4 linked regions of the Arabidopsis thaliana genome follow. The protein of the gene in region 1 binds, or shares a complex with, the protein of each later gene. Each region holds a gene or a part of one and is shown in the gene's direction. Other genes may lie near its edges.

What was found.
Region 2: emb2184 (region 1) and EMB3136 share a complex: the UniProt entries of both Arabidopsis thaliana proteins name them as parts of the 50S ribosomal subunit.
Region 3: emb2184 (region 1) and AT5G47190 share a complex: the UniProt entries of both Arabidopsis thaliana proteins name them as parts of the 50S ribosomal subunit.
Region 4: emb2184 (region 1) and AT1G29070 share a complex: the UniProt entries of both Arabidopsis thaliana proteins name them as parts of the 50S ribosomal subunit.

Annotation. Positions count from the first base shown.
Region 1 is NC_003070.9:28,270,253-28,273,572, forward strand, and holds emb2184 (Ribosomal protein L31), read left to right. Parts: upstream 1-1,818; 5' UTR 1,819-1,910; coding exon 1,911-1,979; intron 1,980-2,069; coding exon 2,070-2,435; 3' UTR 2,436-2,757; downstream 2,758-3,320. Other genes in the region: AT1G75340 (Zinc finger C-x8-C-x5-C-x3-H type family protein), read right to left, coding at 77-294, 406-499, 590-685, 790-884, 1,045-1,222, 1,584-1,621. UniProt on the Arabidopsis thaliana protein: Binds the 23S rRNA.
Region 2 is NC_003076.8:4,339,446-4,342,656, forward strand, and holds EMB3136 (Ribosomal protein L10 family protein), read left to right. Parts: upstream 1-1,816; 5' UTR 1,817-1,848; coding exon 1,849-2,511; 3' UTR 2,512-2,650; downstream 2,651-3,211. Other genes in the region: AT5G13500 (Hyp O-arabinosyltransferase-like protein), read left to right, coding at 1-74, 241-338, 444-513, 643-714, 864-977, 1,320-1,382; AT5G13520 (peptidase M1 family protein), read right to left, coding at 2,672-2,965. UniProt on the Arabidopsis thaliana protein: This protein binds directly to 23S ribosomal RNA.
Region 3 is NC_003076.8:19,163,636-19,168,086, reverse strand, and holds AT5G47190 (Ribosomal protein L19 family protein), read left to right. Parts: upstream 1-1,951; 5' UTR 1,952-2,022; coding exon 2,023-2,052; intron 2,053-2,141; coding exon 2,142-2,471; intron 2,472-2,642; coding exon 2,643-2,729; intron 2,730-2,817; coding exon 2,818-2,951; intron 2,952-3,546; coding exon 3,547-3,655; 3' UTR 3,656-3,903; downstream 3,904-4,451. Other genes in the region: RAB1A (RAB GTPase homolog 1A), read right to left, coding at 1-50, 147-194, 279-326, 549-621, 1,045-1,058. UniProt on the Arabidopsis thaliana protein: Located at the 30S-50S ribosomal subunit interface and binds directly to 23S ribosomal RNA.
Region 4 is NC_003070.9:10,147,858-10,151,938, forward strand, and holds AT1G29070 (Ribosomal protein L34), read left to right. Parts: upstream 1-1,933; 5' UTR 1,934-2,026; coding exon 2,027-2,240; intron 2,241-3,038; coding exon 3,039-3,298; 3' UTR 3,299-3,550; downstream 3,551-4,081. Other genes in the region: AT1G29060 (Target SNARE coiled-coil domain protein), read left to right, coding at 1-61, 185-308, 746-802, 1,441-1,602. UniProt on the Arabidopsis thaliana protein: This protein binds directly to 23S ribosomal RNA.

The DNA of each region.
Region 1 (3,320 bases):
AAACCGAGAGTTAGTTTGAAGGCAACACAAACTTTTTGGGATATGAAAATTGGAGAAATCCCACAAAAGTTGATACCTGAGTCCACCCGCATTGGTATTGGAGAATGCAGTTTGTTGATTAAAGCCAGAGAATGCTGGAGAAGGGGAATTGATCTGACTGGACTGAGGGAAGATACTAGGAGTGGTTGCAGCAAACGGGCTTTGATTGGCGGTAACAGAGCCTTTGTATGGATTCCGTAGAAAGTTTTCAAACTCGGCTATTTTGGAATTTTGCAGATTCCTCTCCCTTTCAACCTATATAATGCACCATAATAAGCCAGGAAAAGAGGAAATCAACTTATGTCTTATCAGTATGAAATGAAAACCAGTGTAAAGTATAACAAACACAAGAAAGGTTAATCTCACAATCGACTGTAGAGGTATTCCTCGTTTAGCTTCTTCATATGCCACTGCACGTAGTTCTTCATAGCTGATATCACCGGTAACATCACATGGAAAACTAGAAGAAAAAAAAGATAGAAAAAATCAGACACGTTTATAAAGAATGGATAAAGATCAAGGATGCTAAACCAAATGAAGTAATACATACTATTTCCAGTGGCCGTAGCATGTGAGCTTCCACATGGGTCTCTCATTCTTAAAATCGTCTTGCATTACCCGCTTACACGCAGCAGGATCTGTGCATCTTTGTATAGTAACCAAGAGAGAAACAGTAAATTTCCAAAGAAACAAACGGCTAAAAGGATGATAATTGATAGAACAAGCATATGTAAACATATATACACTCACTTATGATCTGCCGGCTGCGTCTGTTTACCAGTCTGCTGTGTAGAAGCAGCAGCACCACCACCAGTAGGTGTAGAAGCCGTTCGTGACCAAGTATTCTGATTTGCAAAAGCATCATCATGTCACCATTCATTCAACAGGCAAAATGCTTTCGTTTCTTAAAGAAGATGCACCATTTTTCTCATCCAAAGCCGAACGATAACTTGCATTCTATCAAAGCAATACTTGCATCTTAAAAGAGGAAAAAAACAAATTGACCTGGAACTGATTCGGTCTGCTGGAACCACCACTTTGTACACCAAATCCAAAAGGGTTCGAACTATTTTGTTGCTGCTGCTGCTGTTGTTGTTGTTGGTTTTGTGTACCAAAGCCAAAGGGATTATTTGGCTTAGCTTGTTGTGGATGAAGAAATCTACAGTTTTCCCCATACCTACAACTGCAAAAACAGCACAAAGGACGATGAGTCCAATAATTACGTCTCTAAGCTTCTACTATCACTAATCATAACTTCCGAAGCAAATCAACCCTCATTAATGGCGGAAACGAAGATTAGAATCTATCAAAGTCAATAAACTGTATGATTCATTTAGATTTCAGCTCAATAGACATCGTTTTCTAACACATTACCACCTTCGCACATCGATTGATTTCAAATTAAACCCCAGAATATAGAACACGAAACCTAAACTTCAGCAATCGAAACAAACTTCAAAAACTCTTATAAAACAACAAATTGAATCAAAACAAAAACTAGAACAGATGAAGAAGAAGATGATGATGATGAAAAGAGTATTTACCTGCCACGCTGAAAGTTTCTACACAGTTCCTTCCTCATACTCGCAGCTAAAACCTTCGAACTGTGTACGTATGTGCGTATATATATATGTAGTTTTGCTTCTCTCGAGAAAAATGAAGAAGCGTTAGATTGACGAAGAGTGTATCAACAGAACAAAAGGAAGTCTCTATGTAAATTACCATATTACCCTTACATATCTTCAAAGTATTTAGGGTTATAAACGTAACTCCAATACACTTCATCATCCTCATTCTCTTATCCATCAATCGTTACTTCGTTTCTTCTCTATCACCAGGAAAAAAGAAGAAGATAGCTCCTGAAGACAAAAATGGCGGTTTCTCTCCCGAACTCGTTTCTTCAGATTAGCCCATGTGTTCCTTCTCTGCAATTAAGAAAGGTAAGCTCGAAATCGATTTCTCATTCTTCGTCTATTTCTCCTCCTTCCCCAAAATCACTAAATTTGTTTGTGTTTTTTTTTCAAAATTAGCCGGTGATGGCGGCAGTGAAAGGAGGAAAACAATCGGTGAGAAGAAGCAGCAATACGGTGGTTCAGATAACGTGTCGTAAGAAGGAATTGCATCCTGAATTCCACGAAGACGCAAAGGTTTACTGCAATGGAGAGCTGGTGATGACTACAGGAGGAACAAAGAAAGAGTATGTGGTTGATGTATGGTCAGGTAACCATCCGTTTTACCTCGGGAATCGTTCGGCTTTGATGGTTGATGCTGATCAAGTTGAGAAGTTTCGTAAGAGGTTCGCTGGGCTTTCTGAGATTATGGAGATTCCTGTGCTTAAAGGAGAAATCATTATGCCTACTAAGAAAAGTAAAGGTCCCAAAGGGAAGAAGAAATGATGAGTCTTTTCTGGTAAAGCTTATGTCTTTGAATTTGTTGTCTTTTCAATTGAAGTCGAGATACTGCTTAGGCTGTTAAAAATTGTATGTGAATTTTCTTCTGAATGCTATTGGTTATGCTTTCTTTAAGATCTATTTGGTTTCATTGAGAGTGAGACTAGGATCTCAGAGCAATGATACAAGTAGTAGCGAATCTCAAGGACAAATCTTTAGCTTGTGAGTTTGGCATGAATTTGTGATGGATAATAGATAGATATACACTGGTGAGAGAAACATAGCAACAATGCCTATGAAATGGTAATTGCAAATGAAAGAAAGGTTGTGGCTTTTGCCACATTTTGTGATAATCTTGGAAAGTTATGGCATGAGATTAATGACTAGTGTAGGTAGTTGTTGTTGATGTGTAAGTGGTGTGTTGATTAGTTGATTGAGATCATTTTTACATAGATTTATAAGATGTTGAACATGATGATCATGGTCTATGTAAGTGTCTGCTGAAGTTATCAGGCAAAACATTTGTCTTCTGACGACGAAGTGGCGTACTAATAGTGAGCAGATTCTTGAACTGTGGCCATGGCGTAGGAGTATGTTTTGCTTGAGAACATAAAAGAAAATTTTTGGCACTTGAAGTTGAAGATTCTGTGATCATGCCCAATTGTATACTACTACTGAATTTGTGTGACCAATATTGAACAGAAACAGAATACTCCAGCTCAATCAGAGGTTTTACCAATATCAAGCCAAACCAATATCAGGCCGTCTCAAGCCCATTTGAAGACAGTCGAATGTGTGGGCTATTTTAGGCCCATTTCCTCTCAGCTGGAGTCTTCTGCTTCTTAACTAAGCTACCAAAGTTTTCACTGAAGTTCAAAAGGAAAACCTGTG
Region 2 (3,211 bases), on another chromosome or scaffold:
AGTATTATCCAGCGGAGATGGGGCCAGTAACAAATATCGACCCCATTGGCAACTCTCCTGTTATCATAAGCAAGGTGAGATTATCTGTGCTATACTGTTTGTATATGTGTTATTTGACTTGGGCCCCAAAGATTTTCAGAGGCGTTTAGCTAGATGTGATGTTGGTGTCCAGGAATATGTTCTGTTTGTTCTGTTCATGCATTAAAATTGATGTTGACATGCATTTACTTTCTGATGCAGGAATCACTTGAAAAGATTGCTCCTACATGGATGAATGTCTCGCTGACAATGAAAAACGATCCAGAAACTGATAAGGCATTTGGATGGGTGCTGGAAATGTTAGCACAAGAAACAAGAATCTTAAATCATGAATTGGCTCTCCACCTTTTGAATCCCATCATTGTTAACTGACTACTTTATTCTTCTCTTTTCTGTTTGATAAGGTACGGTTACGCAATTGCATCTGCTATACATGGGGTGCGTCACATACTTCGGAAGGATTTCATGCTTCAGGTAAGAATCGACCTTGTGCTGATACCTTAGTGATAACATATTCTATGTCGAAGATACTTTTGTTTTGTCAAAGTTACAAAAGTTGTTTCTCTGCTCCATATTCCTAAGTTCTCTCACAATATCTTTCAGCCTCCGTGGGATTTGTCTACCAAGGGGAAGTTTATCATTCATTACACTTATGGATGCGACTACAACATGAAGGTGATTTTCTGTTTGACACGATTGTTTAATTTTAATTTTTGGCTGATAAATTAGGAACAGATTTCACATCTTGTGGTCATTTGTTTTTACTTAAGGTCATTAGGTTCTCTTTTTAGTCACTACTAAGTTTTGCTGACTGTTAAATACAGGGGGAGCTGACATATGGCAAAATAGGAGAGTGGCGATTCGATAAGAGATCACATTTGCGGGGTCCTCCTCCAAGGAACATGTCCTTGCCGCCTCCCGGTGTTCCCGAAAGTGTGGTATGTTATATATAAACCTCTATAATCTGATCGTGCTTAAAACAAGATACTGCAGTAAGGTCCATTCATAGCTCAAAGGGGAACTTATTTGTATCATGTCCATTGGTTTAGTGGATTCCGGAGACTAAATAGCAACGTCATACACAAATGGTCGTCCATAGTTTGATGTAGTTTGTGAATTTGCAATGGTTTTACTTTCCGGGGAGATGATATGCATAAGTCTGTTAGAAGTAGTTGTAATATCTTCAGGAGTTACGGTTTTGCTTGTGGTCAATCAAGTGTGAGAGTGAGAACCGTAATATTGAATGACTGTCCTTAATAACATATTGTGTGATGGTGCAGGTGACACTTGTGAAGATGGTGAATGAAGCTACTGCGACTATCCCTAATTGGGACACTCTCTAACTCACATCCACACACAAAACACAAACCATAGGGACAAATCCATACAGCAACAATATTTTGCCTAATTTTTTTTTCCTTCTCCCTTTACTTCCCTTCTTGTCTGTTTTTTCTTGTAATGGTTAAATTATGAACTTGAGTAGTAAATTACAAAATTATTTGTTTGACACGAGACGAGACATCTTCCATAATTCCGAGAAAGAAAATAGAATTATTTTGGGTCTAGTTATTTGATTAGTTTACCAATGGATTGCGTTCAGAATTCAGAAGCAGAGACTAAAAGACACAATGCGTTAAATTAGACGGAGTTACTAATTCCGTCTATTAACCCTTTTTTTATCCATAAATTTTATTTTCCATTTAAGAAAAATAAAAAAATAAAATTGCTTAGTGGAGGATTGTGTTGTTGTTCATCTATCTTCTTCCTCCACACAGCTAGAAACAGTCTCCTCATCTTCTGAGCAAAAAAATGGAAGTGGCTCTTCTCTCCTTCTCTTCTTCCTTGTCTCCTCTCTGTCACCAGCGAATCTCAACTCTCACACCCAAAACCTCGAATTCCCCAAATTACCCTCGCCTCCCGGTCATCAGATCCGCGGTGTCTCGTAACAAGAAGGAAGAGACTGTCGAAGCCGTCAAGTCTCACTTGGAGAACTGCCATCTCCTCGCCGCCATCAACTACAAAGGCCTCACCGTCAAGCAGTTTCAAGACCTCCGGAGAACTCTCCCCGACACTACAAAGCTCATCGTCGCCAAGAACACTTTGGTCTTCAAAGCCATTGAAGGCACCAAATGGGAAGCTCTCAAGCCTTGTATGAAAGGCATGAACGCTTGGCTTTTCGTCCAGACCGATGAAATCCCTTCTGCTATCAAACCCTACCGGAGCTTCCAGAAGGAACGCAAGCTTGAAAACAATGACTTTGCCGGCGCTGTCTTCGAAGGTAAGTTCTACGCTCCTGACAATTTCAAAGTCCTCGAGACCATGCCCACTCGTGCTGAGGTCTACGCTAAGATGCTCGGTGCTCTGCAATCTCCGGCTATTAATCTCGTCACTACTTTACAAGCACCAGCAAGAGAGGTTATAATGGTGCTTATGGCTTACATTAAGAAGTTGGAAGATGAGAGTAATGCATAGTTAAGCTTGTACTAATCTTTTGGAGAATGTAATGTACGCAACAAAAGGCAATTCAATTTTTTGTTTATGACTCTCTCAAGCACCAATTGTTATTACAGTGACTGAGTTTTATTGAAATGTTGTTTTTCGGAGTGCTCTCAAGCTATCATAACGGTCTTGTTTAGATGTACTTAGAGAGGATAGATTCAACAACTCCCTGAGCTATGGGGTGATAAGTTTCTCGAGCTTCTGCAAACACCTGTTTTGCCAGCTGCTTCTCTTCTGTTCCACCAGATTGTGCAAGAGCAGTGAAGAGTGGACGCAGGTACTTCATCCTTCCTACCTCTTTTAGTGTTTTCTTCACTTCCCCATGGTACTCTCTGCACTTGGATGTGACTGCAAGTTGCAGAAACGAGACCTTCACTTCATAGTCTTTCGATTCTGCCAGTCTGTACCGCTTGTCCAAGGCCATGACCTGATTCATCAATGAGCAAAGTGGGTGTTAGCCATAGGTTTGAACCTGATCACCAATCCTTCCTTTGTTGACTAGCATTGTCATTAACAAACAAGATAAGATCCTAACTCTTGCAAAGCCAATACACTTTCCACAATCATGAACTCTCCCAAAGCCAAGAGGGTTTTTCCACAATCATTATTCACTAGCCCCACATTAATCCAAGAGTAACTATTGAGCTAACCTAACTGACAGTTAGTTAGGCCT
Region 3 (4,451 bases), on another chromosome or scaffold:
TAGTAGCTGCTAGTGATTGTCCTGAAACGTTCTTGGCCTGCTGTGTCCCACTGTATACACAGGCGATTACCAAAACAAGAGTAACTATCTGCTCTTTCCAAAATTTTAACAGATTATGATTGCATATCTAGCTGAAGAACACTTACGATCTGGAGTTTGATGGTCTTTCCGTCCTGCTCAACTGTGCGAATTTTCTGCATGATATCATTAGTAAAGGTTAACACTTATTATTCTGATTCCTGTATATAAATGAGTGATGAGCAAATGAAGGTGCTTACAAAGTCAACACCAATGGTGCTTATGTAGCTATCCAGGTAAGAATCATCCTGTCCACATAAAATTCAAGATATCAGGAAATAAGAACACAAAGGAGTAACAATGATACCATAGTGAGAACTAAGCTAATCCAATGGAGTAATGACTTTTGAGTTTTGAGTCTTGAGCAACAGGTATTGAACTCCAAGATGTGATCCTCAAATTTTTGTGTGTACACAATGTTAAAAAGTAACTACCAGAGATGATGAATCCAGAATTGTGGGAATACTTACAGCAAATCTTAGAAGCAAGCATGATTTTCCAACACCAGAATCACCAATAAGCAGAAGCTTGAACAGATAGTCACTGCAACAACAGAACGGTAAACACCAATCTCAGTGAAGCTCATAAACTCATGAAAATTCGGGTCAGGAAATAAAAACGCAAGAACATCTATATACAATATGCTAATGAGATCAAAGGGAAAATTGTGTCACACTCGCGAATTTCAACTACAACAGTAAACAGAAATTGCAGATCTCGATCAAATTTCCTCGGATCTGACCTGTATAAGATCCATGGAACGAAAATCCAAATCTATACAAAATTCTAATACAAAATACCTTAAACGAGCAAAATTAGGTAGATTCAATTCACAAACCTAACAACCAACAAAGATCCAAAGCAAAATCGAACAAAAACCAAATCACCAAACACATCAAAAAATAAAAAACGCGGATCGATCCGAAACAATAGATACATGAAACAACGAGAAGACAAGTTTCTTACTATTCAGGATTCATTATCCCTCAACGAGAATCTGACGATTAAAGGAATCTCCGGCAGTCAATTCAGCGATCGTCGTCGGCCAAAAAAACGAGAGAGACGTGAATGTTCTTTTTTTTTTCTTCTATGTGGCTTTGGCTTATTAAGTGCTCTTTTTGTCAATGACACGGTTAAGAAAAAAGAAAAAAAGGGACCCACTCTTTTCGACATTTAAATGCGTTTTGGTTTTGATGTTTGAATGCTGACGTGGCCGAGCCAACTCAGAGAGATGCGTGGAGGACAAAAGAATCAATCAATCTTTTTTCTTCTTCTTTGTCGATTTTTGTTCTTTTCTTTTTTGATTCTATACAATCGGAGAATAACTATCTTTAGGAGATTAAAATTTCGTATCCAATTAATGTAACTTTTTATATGTATGCTAATATTACGTACTGTTGTCAAGCTTTTAATTAAACCACCTGTAAGAGAATATATATTCGTTTCACAAAGAAAGAAGATGGAATATTTTGATTATTATCTTTTTGGTATTCTGATTAAACTAACATATAATAGCTTTTCATCGCTTGCGGTGTAAGTCAATGTAACGTGAACATGTAGACGACTTGAATATACAACATAGTCACATAGAATAATATTTCAACTCCAGCAGAAATTTATTCGTCAATCATAACTTTTAAAAGGCCCAAAGTAGATTATTTAGAGCTATCAATTTAAGGACACATAAACATACATTTGTTTGTAACAGAAACTCTTTATTTAAACCATTTTTGGTTCTACATTAGTGTACTTGGACAAGCCTTGGTTCGTGGTGGTAGACTGGTAGAACCAGCTTTGGTAATGGGTTTCTTGTTATATCAATTGAATATGGGCCTAAATGTCTAGGCCCATAAAATTAGTAAATGGCCCATAAATTGAAATACACGGAGCGGATAAGCGATAAGGCTCTTCTTTACTCTGGTTTCGAGTTTGGGTTGTGCAAACATGGCGACGAGCTCTCATCTTCTTCCTCAGGTTCTTCTTCTTCACTCTCTCACGCTCAATCACATTTTCATACTTATGCTTCTTTGAATTCTGTATTTATCTACCATTTATGGAACCAGGCATTGCATATGATACCGAGAACCCCTTCTTTCTCGTCGAAGAATTTAGGGGTTTCTTCAATTCTACCACGAGCATCATCAGTGAACTCAAGACTATCAGTTTCTAGGGTTTTTCTCAATCATTCGAGCTCCAATTTTGGTTTCGCCATCGATTCCAAGAAGAGAAAAGAGTTTATCGCTAAAGCTGAAGAGAGTACTGAAGGTGAAACTGAGGCTGTTGTGGAGAATGCTGTTGAAACTGAAGCGGAAGGAGAAGGAGAAGCCACTGTTGCGGCGGAGGAAGCTAAACCTCCGTGGAAGACGAGAGTCAAGCTCGGAGATATCATGGGGGTTAGTTCATTATCCAATGTGATTCTATGAGATTGTCTAGTGTTTTGTTTTGGCTCTGAATCTGATTATACATGTCTGATACTGTAGTTGTTTTGGCTCCTGTTCTTAAATCATCAGTTATCTTTTAGGCATTGGAGAAATGAAATGTTGATTTGCTTTTTGTTTCTGTAGCTACTGAACAAGAAAGCTATTGAGGTTGCAGAGACTGTAAGACCGGTTCCTGGACTTAGGACTGGGGATATTGTAGAAATCAAACTGGTAAAACTCATTGTCCCCGTATAATCTTATGCAATTTATGCATTTAACTGCAAGATTTTGATACGACATGGTGGGTTTGATTTTACAGGAAGTTCCTGAGAACAAACGTAGGCTATCTATCTACAAAGGTATTGTGATGTCTAGACAAAATGCAGGCATCCACACTACTATCCGTATCCGGAGGATTATTGCAGGCATTGGTGTTGAAATCGTCTTTCCCATGTAAGTTTATTCTTCCTTAACTATCCTATTATCACACACTTACTCGGGTATATTGATAAGTATAAATGTAAATAGTATTAGATAGTCAGAGTTAAGGGTCTTTGACCTTGTTAAGGAGTCTTTTGGCTTTGAGAGAGATTTTAGGAACTCTAAAACAAACCGGAATTAGCTTCTTTTATCGTGAACAGTCATAGTCTTCGCTTCTTGAGAACTTAAGAGATTTACAATTCTATATCTGATCATATGTATTAGCTTTCTTCACGAAAAAAGGAAATAATTGCTACTCCAAGTATGATACTATAGGAACTAGTACATAAATGCTGGAAGTCTTAGCATTATAGGTCACCAAGCTTTGTGCTTATTTACTACAGAAACGCGCACCAACCTTTAATCTTAATCACTCTAGAGTCTAGCCGTTATCATAACATACTAGTCCCTATGAACTTTCCAGTACTATTGGCTGATTCTACAATGAAGTAATATGTAACTGATATGTTTTGATCTTGAACAGATACTAATCTACACAATCAAGTAATATGTTTTGATCTTGGTTTAGAATATGTATCTGATGTGATGTGTGTTTTGAATTTAACAGATACTCTCCCAACATAAAGGAGATAAAAGTGGTAAGTCACAGGAAAGTGAGAAGAGCAAGACTTTACTATCTGAGGGACAAACTTCCTCGTCTCTCAACTTTTAAATGATCACCAAACCCAACACCAGTCTTGTCTTGTGTTGTCTTCAATCTCCAAAGGTAGCTAGCTACTCTCTTTTCTCTTGTAATAATTGTTTGTTTGTTTCGTCTTTTGGATTTCATTTCTTTTCATGTAATTTACAGTAACAGTAATTTAAGAAAAGTAAATCAATGTTGATTGTTTTGATCTTGAGTATGTAGAATCTGGACCCTTTAGTATTCTTTTTCAGAAATATGACTGATTTAATCATTAAAATAAAACTTTTGAATCATTGAAATTGCTTTTCAAAATAGATTTTTTACATGTAAAATCATGTAATTCATTCATGTAAATGAATTTTCCAGCTAAAGCAGGAAAAAAGAAACGAATGATTGAGTATTTTTCTTGTCTCTTTCCTCTGTATGATGACTTTTATGTCCGATAATTAATTACTTGCTAACAATCAATCATTAATGGACACGGAGAAATAAATTTAAAATATCATCAATCGTGAGAGACGAAAAATGGCCTACCACCCTGAAAGCTCATTATAGCCTTTTTAGCCACTATATAAAATCAAACACCAATCAATATCTGCCACGTCATCATCCTCTTTTTTCCAGCCTGTCGCTTTTAACCTTTGTTTTTTCGTCTCTTACAATGCACAACTGTTTTCACACGTGTCACATTTTTCCCTCTCTTCTCTCTCTTTCGCTCTTTCTTCTTCCCCGCAGTTCCCGGAGACGACGCCGGAGGAAAATCGTACGGAAACTTTGCTTCGACTTCACGTGGCCGCTCCACGAAGCGCCTTTGGGTTTCGTCTTCC
Region 4 (4,081 bases), about 18 Mb from region 1:
TGGCGTCCAATCGCGGTGCGGGTGGTTCTCTATACGGCGGAGCTGATCCGTATAGATCTAGGTATATTTCTAATATTATCAGTTTCTCCTTTTCTGAAATCGATTCTGGATAGAGAAAACGGGTCCTAGATTTGGTGAATTCTGCGTAAAGTACAAGTATTTATCTTTGGTGTGTGATTTGTAGAGAAGGGCTAAGCACTAGAAATGCTTCAGGTTCAGAGGAAATTCAGCTGAGGATTGATCCTATGCACTCTGACCTGGATGATGAGATTCTAGGTCTCCATGGCCAAGTCAGGCAATTGAAAAATGTAAGAAACCCTCTAAATCCCATTTCGATCTTTCTACTTTTTATCTATAGTGCCATTTGTATTGTCTTCTTGTGGTTCTGAAGGATCATTGTTCTCTTTAAGCTTTAAGTTGATCATATGAATTTGGAAATTTGTCTTCTTTTCGGTTTTGACAGTGGTTAGAGCTTGGTTAATTAGTTGTGTAGGTGTTTTTTTGTTCAGGGTACTATGATAATGTTATTGTTCACAATACTTATCAGTCAGTCCACGATTAATTAGTTGAATCCACTTGTCTGATGTCTTTTGTATACATCTGTGGTTATTGTTTTATATCACCACCCTTCTTGAAGGAATCAGTCGACATTCTCTACAATTCCTTGTGTTTTACCTTGCACTTTTGCGCATTATTTATCCCTCATGATTTTTTGTTATATCGTTGATCGCTTATTTTGATGCAGATTGCTCAAGAAATTGGGTCAGAAGCAAAGTCTCAGAGGGACTTCTTAGATGAACTGGTATGTTGTTGATGTCCCTTTAGTTTTTTCTTTATCCATCATAGTAAATTGCAATGTAAGCACTTAACATCAGTAACATGCATTCATTTACTCTTCTTTACCTTTAAGATGAATCACTGATTATATATAGTATATCCGAATATCGGTTTCCTATAACTTGTTTCAGATGTCTCTGTTCATTATTAGTTGGGAAAATATAGTTTCATCCTAACATATGTTAGATAACTTTAACCGTAGCTTACAAAACCAATGAATCTTGATAAATCCAAAGTGTAGATTATGTTTACTTAGGATCTGGTCTGAACGCTGGTGGTGGGTAGGATTAGATATCTTCAATCTCACCTAGTTTGGTGAAATGCAGCAGGAAATGGTTACAGCTTATCATTGAGTTCCTGCCACTTTGTCAATGAGAATGTTGGTGTTGAATGTGTTCATTGCTTTTAGTTCGTTCTAGTTTTTTCTTTTGTTACCTAGAAGAACATCCTAGAGAAGATAATGACAAACAACTAGATTTGGTAGTGAGACTGCAGAAACAAGCATTTAGTGCTGTTATAAGCAAAATAAAATAAGTAGACGAAATGTTGTTCTTGTCTGAAACATAAAACGCTTCAATGGTATTTTGTTTTTGTTTGTGACAGCAAATGACATTGATCAGAGCGCAAGCAGGGGTGAAGAACAACATAAGGAAACTGAACCTAAGCATAATCCGTAGTGGTAACAACCACATAATGCACGTAGTTCTTTTCGCGCTCCTCCTCTTCTTTATCCTCTACATGTGGTCCAAGATGTTCAAAAGATAGATAGAGAGACTCATGGCATACTTGTGTTACCCCCCAAAAAAAAACCCTTGATGAATGTTGGATAAGTTGTAGAAAATATCCTCTAGATTACAAACATTTTGTGGTTCTTCTCGTTACCTGTTATATAGAGTGCCTGTTTTTAACAGTTTACATGAAGCAAAATTGTATCACAGAACAACAGCATGAGATATTTTAGACCAGTTCAAATCTGGCCTTAACTTGATTAATTACCCGTCCGGTCCAATTCAGTATTGGGCTTTTATAGTCTTATGGGCTGAAGTGTCGTGATACGTGTATTATTATGGTTGGTTCTTATGCGTAAGTTTATGGTGGTATCGTCCGTAGACGATAGAGGTTCCACACTATGTAAAGGAGACCGGAGAAACAAAGGAACTGGGTTTGGAGATAAGAAGTGGGAACTTGAATGGCTTCCTTATCCACTTCCGTTGTAGCTTCGGCTTCGTCGCGTTTATGGAATCCTGCTGCCTCCAACGGCAAGATTTGCGTTCCTTCTGCTTCGCTTTCTCTGCGTACGGGTTGTAGACGGAGTTCGTCCTCTCTCACTTCTTCCGCTTCTTCGCAATTGCTTCATTGCTCGTTTCTCTCGTCGCCTGTTTCCCTAGCGTCTCCATTTTCTGGTACATCTTAAATTGGTTCGAATTATTGTTTGTGTTTAGCTTCTGGTGATGTAATGTATCAAGTTCTTTTACCCAATTTTGATTTTTTTTTCTGGTTCTTTGGGTTTGGTTGATTTATCACTATTCTCGTGTGTTAGGCTCTAGCTTACTTTGCAAACACATATATTCGAAGCTTTTTTAGAAGAATTTGGGAATTGTGAAACATAGTTGTCAATGGTGAATTCGATTTGGGAGTGTGAGTGAAAGAAGCCATTTTGTTTGTTTCTGATATTTCTTGTTAAGTTTATAACAACAAGTGAAGATAACATTTTGCAACTTAAGCCTCAATTTCTGATATCTTAGCTCATGTATTTGTAGCCGCAAGTAAATGTTGTTTGATTTTTAGTACAAAAATCTTTTAGCTCATGTCGATTATTTAGGTACAATGGTTATAGATTTGCTTCAATATGTCACATGAACTTGTTCCTCCTCCTTTGATCATAATTTTCTTGTAAAGTATATTGTACGACCATTGTAGCTAGGCTAAGATTTGAGCAGTGAATTATAAGCTTTGCCAATTTAGCAACAGACGTTATGGTTATAGCTCAAGAGTTAAAAGGGTAACCTAGGAGAATGCATTAAAGTCATTTTGGATTTGTCTGGGTCTTGATTCTGAGCAGTGTGTTGAGAGTTTGGTATTGTATGGTGAGTTCTTTGGGTAATTAAAGGAAGGAGTTTACCGGTTCCAATATTATCAGCTTGATACACTATCAAACCTATAATGTCACATTGATCAAAATGGTGTTGCTGTCTTTTCAGGTTTGTCCATTGCGTTTGATCTCAGCAGTCAAACTAGTGGACTGAATGGCCAGAGACGCAGAGGCCTTGTGGTTAGAGCTGGAAAAGCTGCTCTGTGTCAAACTAAGAGAAGCAGATCAAGAAAATCTCTAGCTAGGACTCATGGTTTCCGTAGAAGGATGAGGACCACTAGCGGTAGAGCAACCATAAAGCGTCGACGTGCCAAGGGACGTTGGAACCTCTGTCCCAAGTCCAACCCTAGCAGCGGCAAACGGGCTTGAAGTTTGTTTCTCTCTTCACTCTATCTGTAATCTTGTTTCATGTGCTTTTTTTCCACCAGAAGATACAATGAGAAACATGGTTCGTTGAGCTCTTTTCTGCGTTTTAACTCTCTTGCATCCTTGATTCGTTTATAAATCAATGTTCTTGGAATTCATCACATGTACTACTATACTACTTGCTTCATTGAATTTGTTACTACTCGAAGTCTCAACTTCAAAGCCATAATTACTTAAAGATCTCTTCTGGCCACCAGGATAATTCTGGTGTGTAAGAATTGTTCAGATTCCAAGTAGTGTTAATGGTTGCTGAAAGTTGATGTATATAGTTTGGGGTTCAATCCCTGAAGGATTTTACTTTCATTTACTAGTTTTATTTCAACCTAACAATTACTTTTAAGTACTAACCCTAAATTATATTCCCCTTAAAAAGAAAACTGCACCAAAAACAAACTAGTTAAGAAAAATGAAACCAAAACTAAAAAAGAAAAGTTCCTTCTTATTGGAAATTAGGGAGGGATCAGATTGTGTAAAAAAGAGAGCGCCCAATAGTCGTAACAGGCTTTGGGCGGAACGCTCTTCTCGCAATATAAGCGAGTTTTTACCATTCATCATATCCCCTTTAACTTGCCTGAAGGATCATGCCTTTTACGTAATTAGCTCTTTCTTTTTTATAGGCATGTTACTACCATCACTATCTCTACCTAAACGATGTGGGACAAAATAAACTATTCTCTTGTTTGAAATAAGGTTTCTTATCTCAAATTCATATATCTTTGTTTTTTA